Linked DNA regions of Pelodiscus sinensis. The protein of the gene in region 1 purifies or fractionates together with the protein of each later gene. This does not show direct contact. Links are inferred from orthologs where the notes say so. Each region holds a gene or a part of one and is shown on either strand. Other genes may lie near its edges.

Evidence for each region.
Region 2: the proteins of COPS3 (region 1) and BTBD2 purify together in Homo sapiens (affinity purification with mass spectrometry; 3 studies listed by BioGRID and IntAct, counting the BioPlex papers as one, with this or other methods). This does not show direct contact. The link is inferred for Pelodiscus sinensis from reciprocal best matches to the Homo sapiens genes COPS3 and BTBD2.

Annotation. Positions count from the first base shown.
Region 1 is NC_134726.1:33,863,204-33,866,949, reverse strand, and holds the start of COPS3 (COP9 signalosome complex subunit 3), read right to left. Parts: upstream 2,732-3,746; 5' UTR 2,475-2,731; coding exon 2,420-2,474; intron 1-2,419. UniProt on the Homo sapiens protein: Component of the COP9 signalosome complex (CSN), a complex involved in various cellular and developmental processes.
Region 2 is NC_134729.1:27,667,672-27,671,417, forward strand, and holds the start of BTBD2 (BTB/POZ domain-containing protein 2), read left to right. Parts: upstream 1-1,306; coding exon 1,307-1,656; intron 1,657-3,746.

The sequences.
Region 1 (3,746 bases):
CCATCAGTATCAGCCATCAAGCTATATACATGACCTAATTCTTAAACAAGTTCAATTTGATACAGTATAACTGACAGTTAAAATAAATATCAAAAGAAAGTTTGAGGCTCTCTTCCCCAAACATAACTCAGTCTTTAAAGAGATCAAAGGTGGGCTTAATTTTTCTGAGGTAACATCAATCCTTTATCTGTTTCAAGGACGTGAATATCCCACAGAGGAAAAAAAAGGCTGCTCTATGCTAGAAAGTCAGGTCAGCTTAACTAAACTCAGGGCTGTGAAAAATACCATGCCCTATGAGAGGTAATTAAGTTGCCTTAAACTCCAGCATTAGTAGACACTGCGTGGTTGACAGAAGAATTCTTACATCAGCCTAGCTACCACCTCCCTCTCAAAGAGGTGGATGAACTCCTCCTGTCCCAGCAGCAAATGTCTAAGCTACATCTCTGCTGCTGTAGCATTTCTAGCTTAGATATGAAATAAACATGCAAGTAAAGTTCAGGAACTTGCACACATCATAAATAGAGTTTCAGTGCAAGTACAGCAGAAAATTGGGGTTTGACAAGGCTTAGTGTGCAAAAGGCCTTTTAATAAGTTAATAAAGCTTCAATATGTAATCCTAGCAACTTGTATCTCATGCTTCCCTAGATAAATCACAGAACCCAATGGTGGGGATAGAGAAGTCCATAAATCAGCTAGTCTAGAACTCCAGAAGCCAATTAAGGAAAAAATGGGTACTCTACAGTGTTCCCTGTAAGCTGAGTGCTTGGGCAGCAGCCCAGGAGAGATTCAGGTGCCACCCAGATGATTGGCAGAGCACCCACTGCTGACCACAGCATGATTCTACTAGTGGTGCACATCACAAAGTTTATTCTGAACATGGAAGGAAAAACTTAGAGGAAACATTGGTACTCTCAACATTTTATGTTCCAGCTCTTCAATAAAATAACATTTCAAAATGACACGCTACCCTCAATCAATACACTTGTGTTACAGAACAGTGATTACCCTTAACTCCAGATTTAGGCTTTCCTAATTTGCAAAACTAAGGTCTTGTCTACACTACAGACCTGTATCAGAATAAAAGGAAAAAAATCAAGCCCCTGAATGACATAGCAACACCAATCTAATCCCCTGTGTAGACAGCACTCTCAGCAGGAGCGCATCTCCCACCAACATACTATTAACTATGCCAACAGGCGAGCTCTCTCCTGGCAGCTTAAGAGAACCTTAATGAAAGTATTGCAGATGCACCGATGCAGCATTTTAAGTGCAGATTTGTACCAAGATTAGGTTTCCACTGTAGCGTAAGACAGGTTCGGATTTGCGTCCAAAGACTTTGGCATTGCTTTCTTATTTATGTGCAGGCCCTCTAATAAGGAACAGATGCCAAAAAGAATGAGCAGCCAGGGGATTAAAAACAGTGGGAAGTAGCAATGGTGCCACACCAGACCCCATCAAATACCACTTCTTAGTCCAAATGAATATGAGAGGGGACATATGCTTCCAGTTCTCAGCTGTCTAAAAAATTCCTAAGTTTTAAGAATTTATGATCACCAAATACAACCTCCTGCATCACAATTAGCTCTGGGGCTCCAAACGCAACTAAAGCAGAATTCCCCCAGGATTAAGAGATGGAGAAAAGAGGTGGTGTAAATCTTCCAGCTAGCCCACAGCTCGTGGTTTAACAAGGTAACAAGAGTGCAGTGGTGCCTGACGAATTTCTATTATGGAGTGAAACAAAATACAGGACTATGTAGCACTTTATATATGGCTGTGACTATTTTCTTCCACAATTTGATCTGAGGAAGTGGGTCTGGCCCACGAAAGCTCATCACCTAATAAACCATCTTGTTAGTCTTTCAAGTGCTGCATCGTCCTGTCTCTAGTTTCAGCAAGACCAGACTCACACGGCTGCATCTCTATCACTATTCTGGGGTGCTGAGAGTCACGGAGCCAAACTGCAAGCGCTCCATACAACGGAGATCACGCCTAGGCAGGAGGTGCAGCAGCACCCCCGCACGCCCGTCCCAGCCCCGGGGCAGCGGTGCATCTTTCGGAGACTGCCCCTCACGAGTGGAAGGGAGGGAGAGAGGCGGGCGGGCGCCTCCTGCGGATGTCAGCACCGCTGCCCTGGTGAGGCCTGAGCAGAGCAGGCGGCGGCTGCAGCCCCGGGCTGTCGGGAGAGCGCGGGACACGCCACGGCCGGGGCAGGGCGGCCCCCGCTGGCGGGGCCAAGCGACAGACCCGGGGGGGGGATCCCCCAGGCCCGCCCGATCTTGTCACACGCACCCGCCGAGGGTGACCTGCGCCCCCGGGGCGGGGCCACGAGGCGCCGCCCGCAGCCCCGCGCGCCCCAGCCCGGCCTTTCGCTGCCCCCCTCCCGCGTGAGCAGCGCCCCGCCCCGCCCCGCCCCGGTCACCTTGGGCTGAGAGCTGCCGGACGCTGTTGACGAACTGCTCCAGGGCGGACGCCATCTTGGCGGCTCTCGGCGCGGCCGCGTCTCTCCGGGGCGGGCAGGCGGCCCGGGCCGAGAGCGGCGGGGGGGGAAGCGGGAAGGAGGCTCCGCAGCGACGCCGCCAGAATCCAGCCAATCAGCGGTCGCTTCGGGAACCGCGAGACCCAGCGGCTAACGTCACTTCCTCCATGTCACATCGCGAGAGCAACGTCCCGCGGAACAAACGCCCCCTGAGGGTTACCATGGGAACGGCCTGCTCCCGCCCGGCGTCACGGCCTGTAGTAAAGGGCCATTTTACAGCCGAATCCGTGACTCAGCAACAGCCAGGGGGCGCGGCCAGTGACGCGATCGCGCCTCGCCATCGCCTTCCATAGAGCGCCGCGTGACCTCACAGCGGCCCGGTCAGCCTCGAGCCTGCAGCGCCTGGCACCGGCCCCGCCCTCACCTCAGCCCCCCCCCCCCCGCAGTCACGTCACCCCCCAGCACTGATACCCCCCTACACTGATACCCCCCCACAGCCACGTCACCCCCAACACTGATACCCCCCTACACTGATACCCCCCGTAGCCACGTCACCCCCAACACTGATACCCCCCAACACTGATACCCCCCCACAGCCACGTCACCCCCAACACTGATACCCCCCTACACTGATACCCCCCCACAGCCACGTCACCCCCAACACTGATACCCCCCAACACTGATACCCCCGCAGCCACGTCACCCCCCAACACTGATACCCCCCTACACTGATACCCCCCGTAGCCACGTCACCCCCCAACACTGATACCCCCCAACACTGATACCCCCCCGTAGCCACGTCACCCCCAACACTGATACCCCCCAACACTGATACCCCCACCATCTCCCCCCACAGCCACGTCACCCCCAACACTGATACCCCCCTACACTGATAGCCCCCGTAGCCACGTCACCCCCCAACACTGATACCCCCAACACTGATACCCCCCCGTAGCCACGTCACCCCCAACACTGATACCCCCCAACACTGATACCCCCCCGTAGCCACGTCACCCCCAACACTGATACCCCCCTACACTGATACCCCCCCACAGCCACGTCACCCCCAACACTGATACCCCCCAACACTGATACCCCCCCGTAGCCACGTCACCCCAACACTGATACCCCCCAACACTGATACCCCCCCGTAGCCACGTCACCCCCAACACTGATACCCCCCAACACTGATACCCCCCCGTAGCCACGTCACCCCCCAACACTGATACCCCCCAACACTGATACCCCCACAGCCATGTCACCCCCAACA
Region 2 (3,746 bases), on another chromosome or scaffold:
CCACTCTCCTGTCCCTCACACCTCTCCCTCCTGCCCTGCCTCTCCCTTCCCACTCCCCAATGCAGGCCTCAAGCCTGACCTCTCCCCTCCTGCGTTTCTCCTGCCCCCATACCCCACCCTCCTCATGCCCTGCACCCCCACATACCCCACCCTCCTCATGCCCTGCACCCCCACGCACCCCACCCTCCATCTCCCACCCTCCTCATGCCCTGCACCCCCACGCACCCCACCCTCCATCTCCCCACCCTCCTCATGCCCTGCACCCCCACGCACCCCACCCTCCTCATGCCCTGCACCCCCACGCACCCCACCCTCCATCTCCCACCCTCCTCATGCCCTGCACCCCCACGCACCCCACCCTCCATCTCCCCACCCTCTTCATGCCCTGCACCCCCACGCACCCCACCCTCCATCTCCCCACCCTCCTCATGCCCTGCACCCCCACATACCCCACCCTCCTCATGCCCTGCACCCCCACGCACCCCACCCTCCATCTCCCACCCTCCTCATGCCCTGCACCCCCACGCACCCCACCCTCCATCTCCCCACCCTCTTCATGCCCTGCACCCCCACGCACCCCACCCTCCATCTCCCACCCTCCTCATGCCCTGCACCCCCACATACCCCACCCTCCTCATGCCCTGCACCCCCACGCACCCCACCCTCCTCATGCCCTGCACCCCCACACACCCCACCCTCCATCTCCCACCCTCCTCATGCCCTGCACCCCCCACGCACCCCACCCTCCATCTCCCACCCTCCTCATGCCCTGCACCCCCACGCACCCCACCCTCCATCTCCCACCCTCCTCATGTCCTGCACCCCCACGCACCCCACCCTCCATCTCCCACCCTCCTCATGCCCTTCACCCCCACGCACCCCACCCTCCATCTCCCACCCTCCTCATGTCCTGCACCCCCCACGCACCCCACCCTCCATCTCCCACCCTCCTCATGCCCTTCACCCCCACGCACCCCACCCTCCATCTCCCACCCTCCTCATGTCCTGCACCCCCACGCACCCCACCCTCCATCTCCCACCCTCCTCATGCCCTTCACCCCCACGCACCCCACCCTCCATCTCCCACCCTCCTCATGGCCACCACTGCCCCCCCGGCCTCATCCCTGCCATACCCCCCCACCCCTACCTGCCCCCCAACGCCCCCACGCCCCGCCCCCTGCGCGCGCCGCCGCGCCCGAGCCCCATGCGCCGCTGCTGCCCGGCCTTGTGCCTCAGCCGCCGCAGCGCCCCCGCCCCGCGCCCGCCGCCGCGCCGCCCTGCCCCGCCCGCGCCTCCTGCGCACAAGATGGCGGCCGGCGGGAGCGGCGGGGGCCCCGGGGGCCTCTCCTCCTCCGGCCCGCAGCCGCCGCCCCCCCCGGGCAACGGCGCCGCCTGCGCCGCCCCCGCGCCCGCCCCCGCCCCCGCCGCGCCGCCGGGCCTCACCTACAACCAGTGCGGGGCCGGCAACCCCGCGGCGGCGGCCGGGGCGGCGGGGCCCGGGGGCGGGGCGCTGCCGCGCGAGCCCGTGTACAACTGGCAGGCCACCAAGCCCACGGTGCAGGAGCGATTCGCCTTCCTCTTCAACAACGAGGTGCTCAGCGACGTGCACTTCCTGGTGGGCAAGGGCCGCGGCTCGCAGCGCATCCCGGCCCACAGGTGGGCGAGGGCCGGGGGGGCGGGGAGCATCCCCCTCAGGGGCGCGGGGGGGGACCATCCCCCTCAGGGGCGCGGGGGGGGCATCCCCCTCAGGGGGGCGAGGGCCGGGGGGGCGGGGAGCATCCCCCTCGGGGGGGCGCGGGGGGGGACCATCCCCCTCAGGGGCGCGGGGGGGCATCCCCCTCGGGGGGCGGGGGGGCATCCCCCTCGGGGGGGCGGGGGCCGGGGGGGCGGGGAGCATCCCCCTCAGGGGCGCGGGGGGGCATCCCCCTCGGGGGGGCGGGGGCCGGGGGGGCGGGGAGCATCCCCCTCAGGGGCGCGGGGGAGGCATCCCCCTCAGGTGGGTGAGGGCCGGGGGGGCAGTCCCCTCAGGGGGCCGGGGACGCGGGGGGGCATCCCCCTCAGGAGCGTGGGGGGGCAGCATCCCCCTCAGGTGGGCGAGGGCCGGGGGGGCATCCTCCTCAGGGGCGGGGGGGAGTATCCCCCTCAGGTGGGCGGGGGGCGGGGAGGGAAGCATCCCCCCTCAGGTGGGCAAGGGCCGGCAGGGCGGGGAGGGAAGCATCCCCCCTCAGGTGAGCAACGGGGGGGTGTAGGGACTAGGGGGGCGTGGGGCCCCAGGGGGAGAGGGGAGCATCCCCCCTCATGTGAGCAATGGGGGGGTAGCGACTAGGGGGGTGCCAGGGTGTGGGCTCTTGGGCTGCCTGGGGGAGCGGATGTAGGGCCCAGGGAATGCAGTGGAGCGAACAAGGAGGGGTTTAGGGCCCGGGAGGGGGGCTATCAGGAGGCCCACGGGAGGGGGGGTAGGGGAGCATCCCAGCCCTCAGGTGAGCAGTGGGACTGGGGTGTGTGTGTGTATGTGGGAGGGGACCAAGGGACGGTGCCAAGGAGGGGGTGTAGGGGAGCATCCCAGCCCACTTGTGGGTAGCCTGAGAGGAAGGAGGCAAAAAGCATACAAGGGGGGGTTGCAGTGGGCCACCCCAGTGTACAAGTAGGGACCACTGAGGTGGGGTGGAGCAGGCATCCCATGCTGGCCCCCACATGGGGCTTGCTGCTCCTCTCGCTGTCCGGGACACCGGTTGAGGTGAGCCATAGGCTGAGCCTCAACCTCCGCCCCTCCGTGGGCTCTGCATAGCAGGGGGCTGCGCTGGTGCTCCCTGCAGCTAGATACCTGGCCCCAGCCTGGACGCAGGTATGGTGAGGCAGGAGAGGGCCGCCCTTCCTTCTGCCATGCCTCTGGGCGGTGTGGTCACCTGCCTGCCCCCCTAGGTCTTCCACACGCCAGGCCTCACCAACACATCCCAGGGTTTGGGCCTCCTGCCTTGAGAGGGCCCAGAGCTGCTTTCCAGGCCTGTGATGGCTGGAGTGGAGGGAGCAGGATGCACTAAGGTGTCAGATCAGCCTGGGAATGCAGGCCCCCAAGTTGTCTCTGTGTGGGGTCTGTGTGGCATGGTGTTAGTGGGGCTCTGCCCTTTAAAGGGGTGCTTGGAATGGCTGCAAAGCAGTTGTGGGTTGGAGAAGCCATAGCCCACTGAGCACACAATCTTGTGTCTCCCTATTGGCACTTCAGGAGCAGAAAGCTGAGTGTAGTGACTCAGGCTTTAGCTGAGGAATCAAGATCTGTAGCTGGGGCTGTTACCCTTTGTTGACTGGGCATTGAACAGGAGTCTGTTCAGTGAGTTACAGACTCATGATGGAACAGCGGTGACAGAAAAGGTAACAAAATGTTTTTAAGTACATCAGAAGCAGGAAGCCTGCTAAACAACCAGTGGGGCTCCTGGACGATCGAGATACAAAAGGAGCACTTAAAGATGTCCTTGAGGAGAAACTAAATGAATTCTTTGCTTCAGTCTTCACTGGTGAGGATGTTAGGGAGATTCCCAAACCTGACCTGTCGGTGACAAGGACTTGTCACAGATTGAAGTGTCTTAGAGGAGATTTTGGAATTAACTGATAAACTTAATAGTAACAAGTCACCAGGACCAGATGGCATTCACCCAGGAGTTCTGAAAGAACTCACCTGTGAAATTGTGGAACTATTAACTATGGCTTGTAACCTATCCTTTAAATCATCGTCCGTACCCAATGACTGG